Linked DNA regions of Drosophila melanogaster. The protein of the gene in region 4 purifies or fractionates together with the protein of the main gene of each other region. This does not show direct contact. Each region holds a gene or a part of one and is shown on either strand. Other genes may lie near its edges.

Evidence for each region.
Region 1: the proteins of Surf4 (region 4) and spidey purify together in Drosophila melanogaster (affinity purification with mass spectrometry, with the first as the bait; one large-scale study listed by BioGRID). This does not show direct contact.
Region 2: the proteins of Surf4 (region 4) and ZnT63C purify together in Drosophila melanogaster (affinity purification with mass spectrometry, with the first as the bait; one large-scale study listed by BioGRID). This does not show direct contact.
Region 3: the proteins of Surf4 (region 4) and Mcad purify together in Drosophila melanogaster (affinity purification with mass spectrometry, with the first as the bait; one large-scale study listed by BioGRID). This does not show direct contact.

What each region holds. Positions count from the first base shown.
Region 1 is NC_004354.4:7,907,084-7,912,438, reverse strand, and holds spidey (spidey), read right to left. Parts: upstream 3,509-5,355; 5' UTR 3,068-3,508; coding exon 2,902-3,067; intron 2,562-2,901; coding exon 2,515-2,561; intron 1,731-2,514; coding exon 1,655-1,730; intron 1,587-1,654; coding exon 1,246-1,586; intron 1,188-1,245; coding exon 852-1,187; 3' UTR 554-851; downstream 1-553. Other genes in the region: dpr14 (defective proboscis extension response 14), read left to right, coding at 5,101-5,182.
Region 2 is NT_037436.4:3,301,972-3,306,716, forward strand, and holds the start of ZnT63C (zinc transporter 63C), read left to right. Parts: upstream 1-1,736; 5' UTR 1,737-1,881; exon of another isoform or gene 1,882-2,302; intron 2,303-2,630; 5' UTR 2,631-2,694; intron 2,695-4,745.
Region 3 is NT_037436.4:7,717,404-7,721,989, forward strand, and holds Mcad (Medium-chain acyl-CoA dehydrogenase), read left to right. Parts: upstream 1-1,946; 5' UTR 1,947-2,036; coding exon 2,037-2,054; intron 2,055-2,495; exon of another isoform or gene 2,496-2,656; coding exon 2,657-3,013; exon of another isoform or gene 3,014-3,073; coding exon 3,074-3,958; 3' UTR 3,959-4,069; downstream 4,070-4,586. Other genes in the region: CG7457 (uncharacterized protein), read right to left, coding at 4,495-4,586.
Region 4 is NT_033777.3:15,343,120-15,347,931, forward strand, and holds Surf4 (surfeit 4), read right to left. Parts: upstream 3,058-4,812; 5' UTR 2,841-3,057; coding exon 2,790-2,840; intron 2,034-2,789; coding exon 1,770-2,033; intron 1,705-1,769; coding exon 1,294-1,704; intron 1,232-1,293; coding exon 1,145-1,231; 3' UTR 534-1,144; downstream 1-533. Other genes in the region: CG31301 (uncharacterized protein), read left to right, coding at 3,186-3,564, 3,675-4,033, 4,090-4,286, 4,345-4,506, 4,571-4,793. UniProt on the Drosophila melanogaster protein: Endoplasmic reticulum cargo receptor that mediates the export of lipoproteins by recruiting cargos into COPII vesicles to facilitate their secretion.

The DNA.
Region 1 (5,355 bases), on a different chromosome or scaffold from region 4:
ACAAGTTGATTGGTTTGACCAGCTTTATCCGGAGCGGAGTTTTGATTTCATTTCGTTTCGAATCGTCTCGTCTCGTTTCGTGTTGATTCGTTTCCGAGGAAAGGAAATCAAAACAAGCGACTCTGATTACTGATTACACGCTCCTTCGATTCAGCTTGATGTGTTGTTGTTATTGTTGTTGCTGTCGCTGCTGCTGCGCAGTTGGGATTGGGCTGGCCCTGATAACACGTCACGTCATGAATCCGATTCATTACATTTCACGCCCGGCTATACACTATCTTTACTGTTATGTTTATGAATTTTGCCCTTTGCTTTGCTTCTTCGCCCTGCGCGAAGTGTTGTATCTCTTTCTGTCATTCCCATCTCGCCGATTAGCCGAAGGGCGCGCCTATCGATGACCAATCGATAGCTATTGCCGTTATCGACACATCCAATTCAAATTCAAATTGGATCCGAAAAACATGAAAAATCATAGGGAAAAAGAAAAATCGCTAGCAAGAACAAATAAGAAGTTAAATACAAAATAAAGGACTGCAAATAAAAGGCGTTATTTATCATTGGAAACTAGATATATACATATATCTAGTAACACATTTTTTATTGTTTACATGACATGGCTGTTTGCGAATCTTCAATGCTAATTAATGACAAAAACTAACTAAACTTAGTTTATTTCGGAAAAATGTTTTTTTTTTTGGTATTTCAAGCTATCTGTTTGTGGATTCGTATGACACGCGGTAATTACGTAAGCTATTTGACTAGCCGGATTTTCCCCACAACCCAACTGACCCACTCATCATCCCAACCGATTCCCATTAAATGCCTCCTCCGCCGTATTCATCCTCAATAATCTACTGTTCCTTGGCCAGGCGGCGCAGGGCACGTTTCCGGGTGCCCAGGATGTTCTTCATAACGATGTTGCGTGCGAACTGTTCGCCGAACACCGCCTCCGTGAAGTGGATGACCAGCTGGAGTAGAGCATGCGGCAGATAGCCCGCCGTCTGGGTGGCAATGCCCAGGGTGGACAGCGCCGAGCGGACATACGTTTCCGGCGAGGGAGCAAACACGCTAGCCTTTCGGATCTTAGACATATTTGTGGCCACAAAGCCCGGCTGGACGCTCTGGATGAGGATGCCGTGCTCCTTGTACTCCGTCTGCAGGTCATCACTGAATTTGTTCACAAAGGCCTGCAAATTATAGGTATTAGTAATTAGCCTTCTATCACTTCTGATGATATCCACTCACCTTGGTGGAACTGTACACGCTCAGCAGCGGATTAGGAATGACTCCGGCGGTGGACGATACATTTATGATCACACCACGTCGCTGGCTAATCATGCCGGGTAGAAAAAGTGCGGTCATGTGCGTCACCGAGTGGATATTGGCAGCCACAATGTTGCGCAGGAATGGGGGATCGGCTTTGTAGCAGTCCAGAAAGTACTCGGGATGGCCGTAGCTGATGCCCACGTTGTTGACCAGCACTCCGACATTGAGGCCAGTGGTCTTTTCGCGGATCTTATCGTAGATCTCGTCACCGCCGGTGAAGTCCACATCGATCACACGCACCTCCACACCGTATTTATCGCCTGAAAGTAGACCGCAAAGAGCAGTTGTTAGTTGAAGTTGTTAACTGTATTTTAGTGAGCAGACTTACCTATCTCCTTGGCCACCACATTCAGTTTCTCCAGGGATCTACTAATCAGCACCAGTTTCAAGCCCCTGCGAGCCAACTGAAAGTGATTAAATATTTATTAGCCTGCTCATATTTACGTACTTTTGGATAGTAAATTCTTAGGTCAGAGATAAAAAGCAATGGTGCTTTGGAATGGGAACACTGAACGTTTCTACCTAAAGCAGGAGTTTCAAAGACGAGTAACCCGTAGATTTTAAGAACAGGAAGTCATTTAAGTGTACTAAGCGTGTATATGAATAGAAATTGGGTGTGAACATTGAACCATTTTCTGTGCGTTCGACGCACGCCGAATGCTAATTTGGCACAAGCTTCGATCGGGGCCCTGTGCTCCACTCTATAAAGTAATTGCCATTCAGGGGACACGTGTTCCCTATAGCTTCTAGCTTCGTTTGCTCCAAGTCTGTGTATTACAAAATAAAACTGGCAAAAAAAAAAAAAAATTACCACAAAAGGTAGAAAAATCAACTGCGATTGCACTTTGTAAAAATAAATAACGAAAAGTACAAATGTAGCGATTTGCAGTCAAGCAAACACTATTAGGGACTGTTTGCGACTGGACTGTTGACTGAAGATCGATTTCAAAGTGCAGATTCACTTGGCTAATGCATTGGCGACCGCTAAACCAATGTCCAAGTCATCGTGGGCGACACTCAATTCGGTAATTAGTAATTACTAATTGCTCATTATTACTATCGTTTTTTGTTTGTTTGTTTGCTTGACCCGTTTCCCATTTTACTATAATCATCGGTCGAGCTTGGACGGACTTTGCTTGCGCTGGTCAAGATTGGGGCAGCCCTTCCATGTCATCTTTGTGTACATACCTCCTTGGCGTAGGCCTTGCCAATTCCATCGGTCGACCCGGTGACAACTGAAAGTCGAAAAAGTTAGCCAATAGTTCTGTGGGTTATCAGTGGATTTATGGGGCGTGGGGAACGATCTTATCGGTCACAGTGAAAAAAGTACTGAACTCCATTTTGGAAAGATATATAGTGTATTCCTTTAGGCAGTTAATGCAAAATTGGAAAACTTGAAAGTAGAGTGTTTGCAATTTGGAAATTCCCTTTCTTCACAATTTAATTGTAAAAGGGTCTTTAATCTTTTTAACTACACTTCTTTAGCAAACTTGCTATTCATTTTTTCACTGTGCACTCGGAATCGACCCCGTTTCCGCTCCTTTCCGGCATGTTTTTCCATGGCAACCGACTCACCTGCCCACTCGCCCATTTTGGAGAGATCCACCGAGGAGCCAAAGACCTTGGGGCCAACAACATTGGCGTAAATCCAGGGCAGGACCTTCCGGAAGACCTGGAAGCCCACGATTCCGATGGCCAGACCGCCCAGCAGGCTCAGCACTTGCGAGTTGTTCTCCTCCATGATGTTGATGATGGAGATTAGTGGTTCCTGGTTCCTGGTACTCCTAGGCAATGGTACCTATTGTATGTACTATATGGTGCGATTGCGATCGGTCGACTGCTATAGCCTCTGCCGGCTGATTAGTTTCTGATTCTACGATTTTCGAGCTGCAATGCCGAAATGGAAATGCTGACGCCGCTGCTTTTTTTTCGCCTCTGCCGACTGCGCTGCCTTTTCGAACTGTATTTGTGGTGTGTTGTAGTAATTCTACACACACACACACCCTTCGAAATCGCCACTGATTTTCGATTACTCGATTTATGTACGCGTGTTTTTTGCCTGATTTGTATTCCAAATGCGTTTTCTTTGAAAGGAGAAACTTAGGGTAGAAGGGGGAAAATAAAAACAAATGGAAAAAGCGATTGAATGTCAATTGTCAACGGCACAAAAGCAAATGAACGGTTCTTTTTCGTATCCATGTGCCCCCCTCAGAGGGGTGTGTGTCTGTGTTGTGTGCCCACTTATGTCATTTCATAGCGCTCACGCACACCACCAAAAAGCGAAAGATAAGGGCGGCTGCAAACAGTGAGCGCAAAAATTTATCACACCAAGAACCGTTATGTTGCACTAGCTGATTTTAAAAGAGGGATGAAATGTAAATTCAGCAATAGTTTTCCGCCTAAGGGTTCACAGGTTCATTACCGTATATCCTTCTTTTACTAGTCTATTAATTAGTTTATTTAAAAGCGAAAAAAGCATGCATATGTATATCATAGGAGGGCAGTGTAAGTTCTATGCTCTCACCAATACACGCCAGAATGGGGCAATCACCGAAATAGTCTGACTAATTTCCTGCACATGCGCAGGAAGCAGAAAGTGCGATAAACAATTTAACGCAGCGAATGCTACAATTAAAGTCGTTAAATATTTTTGATGTTTCTGAGTAAAGCCCGCTATATTAACGGTAAATTATTGATGGAGCGAGATGGCTATAGCGGATCGCGTATGTGCGAGGGTAATCCTTTGCCTATCGATAAATATCGGTTACTTATCGAATTTCGAATTTGAAGCTTAATTTGACAGTAAAAGAATGGTAGTTTATCTGTATTTTTACTCTAGGCTCTTAACAATTAGTAAAATACAGGTATTTCTGAGCTCAATCGCCCGATTTATTTGCATGCCGAGCTATACGGATTCAAAGGACCTTGTTTGGTGGGTAGAAATCCCTGGATTGCAAGAATGCCGAGAGAGATGCTGGCCTTTCGGAGCGGATTCAGTGCCGAAGCAAGTGTGGGTGAGGGAACAACAACGCCGAAGGACCGGCAAAAGCAACTTTTATATTGTTAAATATTTATCAGAACCATCCGCCGAAAAGAGCTTTTTTCCTGGACAAATGCAAACAAAAGAAGAAAAGAAAAGTCTTTTTCTTTTTAAAACAATCTTGAAGATTGCATTATTTTGAGCTTGAGAGGTGAGTGGCGTCTGCTATTTGTTGTTGTTGCTCGGGTAGAGGGATTCCTTCGGATGAAATAATAGGGATGCGGATGCTGGCCATGCGCAGAGCATGCCCTGACCTACATTCCCGTTTATTGGCCATCCGAGCAGCAGTTGCAAAAGGATAAATACACACGCAACACGAGCTGGTTAATAAGCGCTTTTCCGATTTTCCAATTGTCCGACATTCCTATCCCTCCAGCCTCCATCCGCGCGCTGAAAAGTGTGCAAAGAAATCAACAAAAAAGAGAAAAAGAAAAAGTAAATATACATATATAATCGAAAAGGACACTCTGAAAAAGAAGATACTTGAGTGCAATATGTCCAGCAATATTTTGCCGCAGGGCAATCGATAAGCGAAGCGAAGTGAAGTCCGTGGAATCATCGCTGGCGATGCAGTGGGACGCTGATGCAGTTGGACTTGGATCGATATAGAACAGTTTAGAGGGGCGTTCGTTCATATGTGCATATCCTGCGGCGAGTGGCGCCAGTCGATGCATCATCCCGCATCCTGTTACCGTATCCCGTAAGTCGGCATATGAAGACACTCCGCTGCAGTGATGAGATCGAGGCTGTTTTGGATACTGGCGATTATATACTCCTCACTCCATCACATCGGCTCGGGTTCCACGTCGACCACATGTGAGTCTCCACCTCATGCCTTAATCACATTGCAAACTTTTACCCAACTCAAACTTTGGCACTTTTAAGCTGAAGATTAAGTTCTTTTGTTTACTTTGCGGATTACCCAAGTGAAAAATGATTATTTTTTTTTATGTAAAACAATTATTTTACTACTTAGTGTGCAAGCATTA
Region 2 (4,745 bases), on a different chromosome or scaffold from region 4:
CATTTCACCTGTGTGACGTCATTTGCGAGCGAGAGGGGAAGCTTTCTGTGCAACAGCCAATACTTTTTTTTAGCTTTTTGTTCTACTTTGACTACCATTTTAATGCCAATGACCCAAGCGGATAACTAGTGACAATGGCCTGTGTTGTAGACACAAAACCCACGACTAATTGTGTGCTCATCTGATCTTTTGTTCTAACGCCATTTACAAGTTGCCTGATCCAGATTTTCAGGAAGATCACGTTCACAGCTATCGAATTTTGATATATTACCAAATTTGAAGCCCGCTGTTTTAGCCACATTACAACGTTTGCCACGCTAGTCCAATCTATGGCCATATAAATCTCAGCCTTACGCTCACCTTTGTACTCTCCTTATCGTTGTTTACTTTAGGGTTATTAACGAATTTTACATTTTAGAAGTTGTTCGAAAATGGCAATTTATTCTGTACGGCATACTATATACTATATGTGTTTTACATATTTTCTCCCCATACAATATGCCTACATATCATTGCCACTATCATTATGCCAACAACCATAACAATAACAATATCAGAGACAGGTTCGGTAGCACTCGCAGTCCAATTTAGATAATTTTCCACTGGACATTTCAGTTTAAGCGGTACGAAAGCCGGAAGCTGCTCATATGAGCATATCTCCTCTGTTCGTATAATAGATTTATCTTTTTTATCATAATTTGTTTACGGGCACTGCCGATGACTGTCATTTGTCGCACATATAGATTTGCGTATGTGGAGCTCGTACTAACTCCCTTCCATTCACAGTGACTAATTTACTAAATTTGGTTTCTTTTATTTACACTTTATTCACTTTATTTTCTCTTCAAGTTCCAATTGCCTGTTATCACGTAGGGAACATTTACCCATTCGCCTAATCTTATCACTCACTACTTCACGCACACGGGGAATTCAGCAAAGGTAAAATAGGTAAAAGTCTTATTGACTTTTTGACGAAAAATGGAAATAAGTCTTGAGTTAAACTAAATGCTGAAACGTGCTCAATATAATTCCGCTGATTTCTGAATTGATTATGGGGGTAGTCACTTTGGAATTACCGATTTTATGATGGCTTTGTTTCTTTGTACACCTGTTTCCTCGGCCGGTAAACGCGCTACTAACGAAATCCCCAATGATCGTGGTCAGTGATGCCGCTTTAGCCATGAATATTATCTTCAAAAAAGATTTTAAAGTTGGATGTTTCTACTAACAACTCACTTTTGCCCTGAAAATATATATATTCTTTTTTTTTGCCAAAATATTTTATTTTTTAGATAATTTCCTTATAAAGGCACGACATCACTAGTAAGTCATTTACCTTTCCCATCCAATACACAAACCAACTTTGAGCTTGAGTGCCATCGAGCTTTTTGTTGGTTAAAAGGGGTTAAACGCAGTTGTTGGTAGTTTTGCGTTAAACAAAGAGTTTAAGCTACATTATATTGAAATGTAACGCCTAAAAAAATAGATTTATTGTAAAGTAGCCCTTCACAAAAATATTTCGTATTAAAAGTGACAAAATGTATCAAAAGCCTGCCAGTTTTTTATTTCAATTACATTACTGGCTCCTATTTTGGTTTCTACTACATTTACTAGTTTTCAAACTTATTTTTGAAAGACCGCTTGTAACGGTCGATAGTCATTATTGTTAACCCGATAGAGCTGCACAAATATTATCGATATATTATTGGTATTTTCCAACTGCCCGGATGGATTTTCGATGACTGTGGCTGCAGTCACACTGAGTCGGGAAAATAATTATTTATTAAAAATTCGTGGACCCGCGCTGTACATCTGTGTCTGTGCTGTTCGCTCCGCTCCAAGTGCGGCAAAAAGCAACCAAGAAGGCAGGCAGCCCAATCGGTAATTTACGGCGGAGTAGTGAGGCGATATACGGAAATCGCGACCAGTGCACGTGCAATTGTGAATCGTTCTCGATTTTCCCGACCCGCACCCTTTCTTCTCTTTCGACCATTGTGACTGTGCACAATTAACTTGCATACATACGTGTATGTATGTACACACTCTGTTTGTATGTATGCGTGCCACCCCCAATTGAGGCGGAAAAAGGAGAAGCAAAGGAATTTCTGCAAAATCCAAGATGCCCATGCTATTTTCACTATTTTATTTTGCCAACTTTTCAGTCGACACTTTGCTCTTGCAGCAACAAAGCCAACAACGGCGAAAATTGGAAGTTATTTTCTTTTCTTTCTCCACTCTTTTTATCGCAAAACAACAGCAACACTGCCCGTGCACCGCTCTCCCCGCTCCCACTTGCGTCCTTGTTAATACAGTGAATATCGGCTAGCCACAAACAGGGGAAATACAAAGAATCTTAATTTGCATTTGTATGGTTGATAAAAAGTCAACTTATCAACTTATCTAAATCGTCAAACCAAAGTGACTTATACATTTGTAAACATTTTTAAGCGTTTTCCCTGTTTTAATTGCGAAAATAGTAAAGATATCGTGTTTTATTTTTATCAACAGTGCAGCGAAAGTTTTATAAAGTATACATATATTCAGTCAAATAATTATTAAAGTCCTATACTCTCCGTATACACTGGATTTGGTTTTTTATTAATTTTCAATTATGTGTATTTTGAATTTAGCCTCTTCAATTGGAGCTTAGGAACCTTAACAACCAAAGAACCGATTTCCAGACTTAAAGCTAAGGTAAGTTAAATACACCTATTATTCTTAGCCTCATTATCAATTTTTAATGAAACTTCAAAAAATAGATTGTAAGAGTGTTATATCTCTTTTCTTAGTTAAACATAATCTCGGAAATGATATCCATTATCTTACGTAGGGGATTTGCCTGCAGGAGACCTGCATCAGCATGTCTGTTATTGTTGCACGTGGGTCACCGAACTGGGCGGGTGTGGGCGTGGTCAGGTAGTAGCTGAGCATATCTGCATTTCAACAATCGATCTTAATCTGCGCTTGCTTTTGAGTTCCTTTCGTCTAGGACTTGTTATACTTGATTTATGGCCCCTTCCCGCGATTTCCCATCCTCGAAAACCGGTTGTTTTGACTTAATCATCGGTTCTCGCTGGTTATTTGATATGAAATTCTTTCTGACTCACAGCAGTTGTTTAAATTCTGGCGTGGAAATCCCGATCTTTTTCCTTATCAAGCCAAATAAATATGAAGGCTAATTTGCTATGTTTGAATTATTTTATTTAAATTACTTTTGAAAAACAAATAGGCAGTACAGCTATTAAATAGCAGGTTTTTATTTGTTAAAGCGTAATATCTTTCAGATTTTATAGATTCTAAATCTTCCCATATAGGTTTATTTTTCCTCATTAAGTCTTGCAAATTATGTTCGATTTTCTTTCTGTATCGGTTCTGAGATATTGTATGTTGCAGCGATTTTCACTGTTGCATAAAACTCTTGTATTCCGGGCCTAATTAAATCACTTTAAATGCCTGCTCGGTGTGGCTGAAATAATTCGATTTAAAGGTCAGGCACTCACCCAAGTGACTTTCCAACTCTTTTTGTTCTCGGCTCCCAGTCAGTCATCAGCGAAAATTGAGTGAGATCGAGGAGGAGGGGAAAATCAATATGTGCTAATATAATTTTGTGGCAAACAAATTAAAGCACACAGAACAGCTCGTCGTCGCTGCTCTGATTTGTTTAGCTATACGAATATGTACCATATTTATTCAGTTGATTTGGTTCAGTTTCAGTGGTGAATATTTGAGCAGCAGCATTTAATATTTGATACTGGCCAATTTGATTTGTGGGTAAGCACATTGACTACCGCCCAAAACTGAAATGCAGCCGAAAATGGGGCCAAAAGTGGGTTATGTTTGCTCCGACCACCATGCAAGCTGGCTTTGATTTACGACTGCAACTAAAGTAGGTTAACCTAGGTCCAGATAACTACTACATTCTGCTTCTCCAACGATACCATATTCTAATCTCAAAGTTGCCTGAGCTGCTGGCTTTCCAAGAGTAGAATCATGTACATGTGACCTTGACACGGTTTTCACTTGCTATGCAGGAAAAAGGGTTTCCCGCATCCACCGTACCGTATCCATTGAAATTTGATTTTGTTATTTGTTTATCGACGCCACTTCATGCAAATTGGAGAAATTCAGGTGGATATATTTTTAGCTGACACATCCATGCAATGTTTGCAAATGCATATATAGTATTCACCTTTCTGCCAGCCTGATGAAATTCTTTTGTATATTTTTCACTCTGTTCTCCGTTCTCGTGGAACTCAACCAGGTTGGACCACCCAACGCCCAGCTCCGTCTCTTACTTTGCCTTTCTCTGCGCCGCCCTTTTTCCAGAGCACCTCCGTCCGCCTTCCGTTCCCGGAGGTCGGGAAAAAGAACCGGGTTAATCGTCGCCACGTTGTCGCCGTGGAGAACAAATGACTCTTTTCGTTTGTGGGTCAACTGCAATTTTTGCCATTAATATAATTAATTGATTGCCATTTTGGTTTTAAATGTCGTAACTTTATGTGAGTGAAACGCACCTATTAAATGGGAATACTCACATAATAAAATTCAAAAGCGTTCACATCGCAAAATCTATAAGAATGCTAAAATTGTTTTCAGTGCTGCACTTCACACTTACGTAGCAAAAAGATTTACCCAATCTTAAAATTACTTTAATTCCTGCTTAATAAATCTTTCTACAAATTGCCGATCAATAAATCAACAGTGCGTCTAATTTGGCTTATCGAAATGCCCACTTTCGAGTACTT
Region 3 (4,586 bases), on a different chromosome or scaffold from region 4:
TTGGGATGGTGGTGGGTCTGTTGCTTGTGGCTGGCACCACCGTTTGCTCCTTCATGGTGGAAGATCTGCTCGTGCTGATGCTGGAAGTACTCGTAGTGACCGACATGATCCGGATGGTGTTCCGTTGGCGGTGAATGGATCCTCGACGGTGGGCTGTGGTGCTGTCCCTTGGCGGCGTGGCCGGAGGTGGTGCTATGATGCGCTGCCTGCTTCTGTGAATGGCCACCTGCTCCTCCATGATGACCACCGCTGCTGGTATGATGACCATGTCCGTGGGCATGATGGTGATTGTGGGTTGGCGGCGAGGGCATGTTGTGGCCGCTGTGGGGCAGATGCGACGAGTGCTGCACACCCACCTGATGTCCGTGGTGGTGAGGAACATGACCTTGGGACGCCTCCATCAGCGTTGGCTGGATGTGGGTCACAAACTGGGCCATTTTGCCGCAACCTTCAACTACTGCTCCCTTTTTGTTGTGGTTTCTTTGAGGTTTGGGCTTAGGTAACACTTGTTTAAAATTTCACTCCTCTATGAGGCGGTTTTTTTTTTTGGGAAGGCGGGGGTGGCACTTTTATATGTATCCCAAAAGTGGGAGTGGGTAGCACAAAAAAACACACACTACGGCTGGCTTGCGGACGAGTTGTGGGCGACGGAGGATTTGGGCTCGGACCGTGGACAACCTTCTCGCAGGAGCAATGTCAAATGACTGACTAGGAGCAGCTATCCCAGTTGGGCCTTAGACGCCACAGGACTCGCCACCCGCCATCGCACCACCCGAACCACTTCGGCTCCAGCTCGGCTGTGCGCGTTCGTCCTCGTCGTGGCGGAAGAGCTTTAACCGGACCCAGTTTTATGCGCCTGGCCTGGCTGATAAGAGATACCACTCGCTTCAACGGCTGATTACGACTTTGGATGGCTGCGGATGCTGATTTAATGATGTCTTCGTGCCGCGCCACGTAGTGCTCTGTTTTTTATATCTGCCTGTCAACTGTGTCACGGATTTCCAATTCGTTTCGCTGGAGATTTTTTTGTCGCTGGGAGGCGGGGCTGCAATCTGTTATTTTTAAAACAGCCAGAGGAACATGTTCCGTCTATTTGTGTCAAGCGGGAAAGTATGCTCCGATTGTTAAGCACCTAACAGGTGGCAGCGAAGTCTAACGACTAGGGACTATCCTGTTGGTTCTTATTTTATTATTTAACATATCAAATCATGTTTTAAATGTTTTGAATATGGAAAAATGGGGTTAAAAAGTTAAAGCGAATGAAACCTATAATTATCTAATTGTCTCTACATTTTATTCTAAACTAACCAAAATATAGTATATTACTATTTAATATGAATTATCCCTCAATGACCTCTGCCGACGAACATTTTCAAGCCTAATATACCCGATTGTATTATTTTATACCTATTGCCCAGAAGCAATACGTTACGTTGTGAACTGAAAGCTTTTACCTTACGTAGATTGCTGGGCATTACGTTAAAGCTATGTTTTATTAAGCTTATTTCGTAGGGTATTTCGTGTGGTACATTGATATCTTAAAAAAGGGGGTGTGTCTCTTCATACACATATGCCTATGTACTTGACAAAACCTGGATGAAATGTACAGTTGGTATTTTAAAAATATTTTACAATACAATTTATTTATATAAGCATTATATTACAATTAAGGCGAGGTACAAACAAATTTGTTAACTCTTCGAAAAGCTTTGGGAAAGTTCCATCAACAGCGCATACAAATGTCTGCGAAATCTTCCCTTATCTCAACCTCCTGCATATATTTGTAGGTGCATATGCTTGTAGTTCGTTCGTCACCACGATTCTGTAGCTTTTGCGACTGCCAGCGCAACAAGGTCCAATGTCCAAGCGTCGCTGCCATATCGCGATGAACCAATGTACATATGTATGTACATATATAACATCGCTATACCGGCGCATCGGCAACTCGTTTGGATCATTTCGCTGGCAGCCACCGACGAGTTAGCAAGGCGACCTAGTTAAAACTCAGGAAAATACGAAAATAAACCCACATTCAAATGGCGTTCCTCAACAAGGTGAGCATATCAGTCAATTTACAACGCAGAGAAAGTGAAAAACACATCGCTGGGACATATCATATCCAAAGGTCCAAAGTTCTATCACGCTAGTGACGACAGCAACTGTTGATCGTAGGATCATACATACATATACATATGTACCTACCAACAAACATATATTCGAGTGGGTTCCGTTTCGAAAACAATTTGTTGCTGCCTATCTGTTAGCAATCATCTGTACTTTGCCCCCCCTGAGAAAGTATTATTAGCGGCGTCTAATGGCGGCTTATCGTGCACTCTATTTAAATCGGAATGCAAACTTTATGGGCAGGCATATTCGTTATCTGTTTTATGAAAAAAATAGAATGTGATGGTTGGTTATGAACCTCAAACATCCAAAGTCCCTTGTAAATATAAAAAAAACCTTCGTCTATGATCATGATGTTGTATTAATTAAATACATACGTAGTTGGCCCATTTTATTTGTTGCTTGTAGTTAAGATTAATTCGCGGTCAACTTTGTTGTTGTTCTGATTATTTCTACATTTTCATTTTGCATTTCGATAAACACTTGTTTACCAGTTGACTTTAAATCCGATATCCAATATCCGAAAATCCAGCTTGCTGCGCCTGCCCTGCGCCAGTTGGTGTCCCAAAGTCGCGCCTACGCCGCCGTGTCACACGTTTCGCCCAATGGCACCTCTTTCGCACTCACCGAGGATCAGCTGCAGCTGCAGGAACTGGCACGTAAGTTCACCCGTGAGGAGATCATCCCGGTGGCCGCCCAGTACGACAAGAGCGGCGAGTACCCGTGGCCCATCATCAAGAAGGCCTGGGAACTGGGCCTGATGAACAACCACATTCCTGCTGATATTGGTGGCCTGGATCTCGATGTGTTCACCACCTGCTTGTCGGCCGAGGAGTTGGCCTATGGCTGCACTGGCATCATGACCGCCTTAGAGGCTAGTGGTCTGGGCGTAAGTTTAAAGTCATGTCTATTTACGGCAAGATGATCGAAACGCCACGTTCTTTCATAGCAAACTCCTGTGATCCTGTCCGGTAACAAGGAACAGAAGAAAAAGTACCTGGGCCGCCTGCTGGAGGAGCCACTTGTCGCCGCCTATTGTGTTACAGAGCCCGGAGCAGGATCCGATGTGTCCGGCATCAAGACACGCGCCGAGAAGAAGGGTGATGAGTGGGTAATCAACGGCCAGAAGATGTGGATCACCAACGGTGGTGTGGCGAACTGGTACTTTGTGCTGGCCCGCACCAATCCGGATCCCAAGTGCCCGCCCAGCAAGGCCTTCACCGGGTTCATTGTGGAGCGCGACAGTCCCGGACTAACGCCCGGCCGCAAGGAGTTGAACATGGGACAGCGCGCCTCCGACACGCGTGGCATCACCTTCGAGGATGTGCGCGTGCCCAAGGAAAATGTGCTGATTGGCGAGGGTGCCGGTTTCAAAATTGCCATGGGCACCTTTGATAAGACGCGTCCTCCAGTTGCTGCCGGAGCTGTGGGTTTGGCCCAGCGTTGCTTGGATGAGGCTCTTAAATACGCGCTGGAACGCAAGACCTTTGGCGTGCCCATCGCTTACCACCAGGCTGTGCAGTTCATGCTGGCTGATATGGCCATCGGTGTGGAGACATCCCGTCTGGCGTGGCGTCTCTCCGCCTGGGAAATCGACCAGGGACGCCGCAACAGCTACTATGCCTCCATTGCCAAGTGCCATGCCGCCGATATGGCCAACAAGATTGCCTCCGATGCCGTCCAGATCTTTGGAGGCAACGGCTTCAACAGCGAGTATCCCGTGGAGAAGCTGATGCGTGATGCCAAGATCTACCAAATCTACGAAGGTACTTCTCAGATCCAGCGCCTCATCATTTCCCGAAACATGTACGAGGCTGCTAAGGGTCAAGCCTAAGTCAGTTTTAACTAGGATTCCTCATCTCCATTCACCTCATCAGTTGTCATGCTCATTGTAGACACATTCACAAATCCGATTAATAAAGTACAATAAGTAAATAATTACAAGAAAATATAAATCATTGATTGTGATTTGTCTGTTGAGGGAAATGTTGTATAAATGGCACTTGGTAATTTCTAAGGAATTACTTATTCCTCAAGTGTATAAAAGGAAGGAAGAAGTAAGCAAACAGTCAGTGCGTTAGTATGTTTACTAATTCTTAATATTTCAAGTTTCTCTAATCTTGCCCTCACTTACCCCCAAAATTGTAGAGTCTAGACCATCGCAAATTATTTCGCTAGCTATCATCCATTGATAAGATAAGCCCTGTGGGGGCTGAGTGTTTGTTCTACTTAGGTTCAACGAATCGCTGTTCTGCTATCAACTGAACGATAAGACTTACTGTACTTAGATTTGCTATATAATTGTCAAACAATAAAAAATGCTCTGGGACATACAACACAAGGAAATGGTTTACACATGATGAGACTACACTATTCCGCATCGCTTCCATCAGCGAGTAGCTTAAGTAGACCTTTGTACCGCCTTCCAATTTTCCGGCTATTTGATGTGGTCAACATTTTGG
Region 4 (4,812 bases):
TTGTCGCCAGCTGCAGAAAACACTTCCGCCCCTATAAGTTACTTGTGTGCATTGTGTATTGCAATTGATTTGAACTGATTGCAACAATTTTTGGAAATTAATCAAATGTACTCATCCCTATTTTCAGATTTGATTTCAAGTTTTTAAAAAAAAGTGAGGCCGTTGACATTTCACTGCCTTGTTGGAGAGGTCAGGGCTTTTCAATATATTGTTTTATATTTAGTTAATTCACTAACATTACCATTCAAAACGGTGCCTAATCATTTTTTTTATCATTATATTTTGTGTCTATTTACAAAATTTAATCGTACTACTTGTATAAGGTTTATGCTCTTATTTTTGCAATAAAGTTATTTATTGTTAGTTATGCAGGATTCACTAGCAGCTAACTTAGTACGGGGTACCCAGTAGTCGAAGAATGGGCATTTCCCTCTTTGTTGACGTTGCGAGTCAGCTGTGCCTTAGTGCTGGTAAACAAACAAAAGCATTAACCATTTATCGGCCAATTGGCGCCAAGTTTAAAATGCACAAGTCTCGGTTTTTCATCTTTATGTTTATTAAAACGTTACAATTTAATTCTATTACACTTTTGCTTATAAACGAAAGAAACAAATCATTGTCAATTGGTACATCATATTTTATACATCGTTTTCATATTCAAACTTCTAGCAATCAACAAAAGGCAAACACCAAGGTTACAACTTATTTATAAGAGTGTACAAATCATATAAAAAAATCGGCAAAAAACATGGATATTGACAAGCATAGATATAAAATCAGTTATGTCTCTCATTTGGGGTGGGCTCGAAAGTGACCAAACTTTTTTCTTGCCTGTTCTTTATGTACAAAAATAAAATGTCCTAAATGTTTAAAATGTCGAAGTTTGTCGTTGAATGTGCGCGAATGGATTTGGAGTTGGGTTGGGGCGATCCCAATAAGTGAGCCATTGGAGAGGGGTATTGCGGAAGTCCCTTTATTGAAAATTGTCAAGTTCTTATACGTGCCGGTGTTGTGCTGCTGATGCTGCTCCTGTTGTTGTCCCATTTTATGGTAATTCCTAACTAACATTTCTCAGAAGGAGTAAAACACGGTAAAAGTCAAATGTTGAAAGTGTTTCGTTCAAGGAGCGACCGTTGCCTGGCCTCTACCACTTCTTCTTGTGCTCGTCCATGGAAACGCCGCCAGGGCCCAAGGACACGATCATGAGGAGGCCACCGATCACCGAGAGAGTCTGCGAAGGGAATGCGTAAAAATAACACAAATTCGTGCGAAAGATATTGTAAACCTGCTAACCTGGAAAAAGTCGTATTTCAAGAAATCCCTGAGTGGCTTGTAGGACGGAATGGTCCACCAGGCATTGTGGTACAGGTTCAGGATCGTAAGCAGAGCCACCAGAATCAGGGCGGACAGCTTCGTCTTGTATCCCAGCACGACCAGCACCATCAGAATGGAGCCGATGATGTCCTGTATAACTTGCCATACGCTCAGCTCAAAGCGGATCAAAGTGATGAACATGAAGGCCAGCAGGATGCGGCCCGCCAGCTGCATGAAGTTCTTGGGCTTGTTTTCGCCCATCGATGGCACGCCGGCAAACAGGCTGCGCCCCTCTATCCTGGCTTCCGCCAGGACGAGCAGTAGGGCTCCGATGAGTGCAAAGTTTCGCAGTAAGAACTGGAAGTCCCACAGAATGGAGTAGGCAACGGTCTGCAAACAGAGGATCGGGTTAACGTCAAGGCTTTTGCTTCTGGCTGATATAAATGCAGACTCACCTGCAACACCACAATGAAGAAAAGCAGTCCCACCGCTATGTCGACCTTAAATCTGGCCATCACCATGCCGCAGCCGCCCAGTTGGCCCAACAGGTTGACGAGCACAAAGACGGTGGCCAGGAACTTGCCGCAGCCCCAGCTCATGTCCATGTACTCCCGCTGCTCGTTCCATTGGATGTACATGCGCAGGCCGTCCTCGAAGAACGTGGCGATGAGGCACAAACGGGCCACTGTGGGCAGCACATTTTTGCCGCGCTTGATGACCTGCAAAAATGAGTGTTCGATTGGTTCTGGTTGAGTTGAGAGCAATTGGGATGGGTGCTGATATGGTGATAAGGGGACTACTGACAAGGTGATAAGGGATTTAAATATACAATGCCGTTGAGCGTGGCTTGCGCGTAGTCGCTAGAAATCGCCCGCTGGCTGTGACGTGTCTCTAAACGCTAGTATCTCTCGATTGCTATCTGCCAGCTAACGGGTTTTGGCCCGGCTGTCAATGTAACTTCATACATGTATGTATGTAAATCGCGAGCAAGTTCACCTGGCTTTCTAGCCCAACTATTACGGAACTCGACCTGGCCGCTGGCGTCCAGCTGCCCGCTATTTCTTTTTCAACACTTTCACTTGCGGAGACAGCTCTCTCGCACACACACACAGACACATACGCATCAGCACACAGGTAGAAAATAAGCAGCGAGAGAGAGAGTTTTCCCTGCGGCAGACGCAACAACTGTCAATTGCGGTACTGGAGTACAAGGCAAACCCATCATCTGGGTTGCACCCAGATTCTTATTGGAAGCAAATGCCCAGCACGTTGCCCCCATGTCAGCGGATCGTGATTATATGCAGCCAAGACCCTCGAACTTTGCCGCGTTTGGGTGACGTTGGCAGTTTTCCCAGTTTGCAGCTGCCAGGGCTTCCCCGCAAACGCCATTTGGGGCGCATCGGGAAGACGCTTCCTGCGGTGGATATGGAGTCCTGGTGGACTTCTTTTTGGCAGTGGAACCTAATATATCTTACCTGTTCCGCCACATCCTCCGTTTTCGCTATGTACTCGTTGGGTATGCTCATGTTGGCTGCTTTGGGCTGATCCGATCTCTCACTTTGGGGCAATCGTCTGTGGAGACACTTTGGCAATTCGTTTCTGACTTCTTGGGCGTCGCGTCGCTCTCCAAATTGTTGTTAAGTTACCAAAAAATCATGAATTAAAAGGCAGGAACTTAAAAACACACACGCACGACAAAGTATAGCCGTGATGGGGCCTATCGTTATCGCTGCGTTATCGATAGCCAATGGGCAACACATGGCCAATCGAATTGATAATTCGCTGTGAATGGGAAAGCAGCAATCAAAAAACAAGCGTGCCTGTGCTCATTTTATTTGACAAGTTGAACGCTATTTATTTTCCCTGTAAAGATGTCCGTTCAACAATCCAAGCCAAAGCAGAAGAAAGTCAAAGTTAAAAAACAGGATGATGCCGGCTATGGATCCGGGGAATTTTCCTTGGACTGGGATGTAGACAGCTACAAGACGGAATACGAAAGTGATGAGCACTGGGATCTGCGACGCAGCTTCATGCTGGCCCACAAGGATCGTTTTGAGGAGGACCGGCTGGTGTGCCTGGCCCAAACGTTCGTCAACATGGAGTTCATGGGCTGCAAGTATCCAAGCGCGACGATGCTTTTGGTGGCCGAGTTGTCCAAGGAAATCGCAGCGGATTTCCGTCAGAAACGGGAACAGCGCCTGAAGAGAACATTTGTCTCGGCGTCGGATGCGGCGGAGCAGCGCGCCAAAGGTAGACGACTGAACAATTAGTGGGCCCATAGGCGAGAGAAGATTCTTTTTATCACTAGTAACTATACGAGCCAGAGAGACCAAAGCCTAATGCCTAATTCCAACTACTAGGGCGCCGGGCTCCACCCCTTCCCTCGACGAGCTCCCCAGAGGATAGCTCACACATAAAACGCCAGTGTTTTGGCGGCGGAGATCCAGTCGATCTCTATCAAGATCTGCGTTTCGGTCGGCTCATTGTGTACTTGGCTGGGGGACGAGCCTGCCTGCAAAACTCCTGCAACATTGCGAATGTCAAGTACGAAGAGCGTGTCAGCCGAGATCAGCCATTAAGCGATAATACAAAATACGCCGAATTATTAGTAAATGATGAGGTAATAGCGACAGGACAGGGGGAGAGCCTTAAGGCGGCCAAGAAAGCTGCCTATAAGCAGGCGCATTTGACGATCCAGTCCTATTGCTATAGTATTAAGGTATGAAATTTCTGAAATAATGTATGCCTTATTAAACCCGGTACTACGCTACACAGCTGAATGCCACGCGCGACACCATCAAGGTGGAAAAAAACAAGGACGGCGTCAACATCAAAGTCACCAATGAGTCCGCCGACAGTCCGTGCGATCCCAAATTGGACCCCAGCAACAAGGGATATCGCATGATGCGACTGATGGGCTGGACAGGCGGTGGCTTAGGGCGACTGAAGCAGGGACGTGAAGAGCCCGTATGGTAAGAGTTCGACTTTTAACGTATCACCAAACGAAACTATTTTATTTTATATTTTCAGTTATCTGCTAAAGAACAATCGTAATGGTCTTGGATTAATAAATCCAAAGGGAAATTTCGCTGATTACCGACGGCTTATAGAAAACTATGTGAGATCGGACGATATACGTGACATGCAGTTTGAGCCCACGTTTTCGAAGGAAGAAAGAACCACGCTTCACCAGTAAGCACCGTCATCCCACATCGTAAAAAATAATTGCTTATTATGTTGGCATTTCCCTTTACAGAATCGCCAGACAATTTGGCTTGCGTTCCGCTAGCTATGGGAGTGGAGAGAGCCGGCGCCTTTTGATTACCAAGAAGATCGACTATGGCACAATACTGACTGAGGTCCTGCTTCGGCGGAACCCCAAGTTTTGTGATCGTTACTTTGTGCACGTACCCATGCAGAAGGCGCACCTGTTTCCTGGTCATGTGGCCGACCTGGAGATGAACGATGTATGTGAATAGGCAGGACGAACAAAATCTC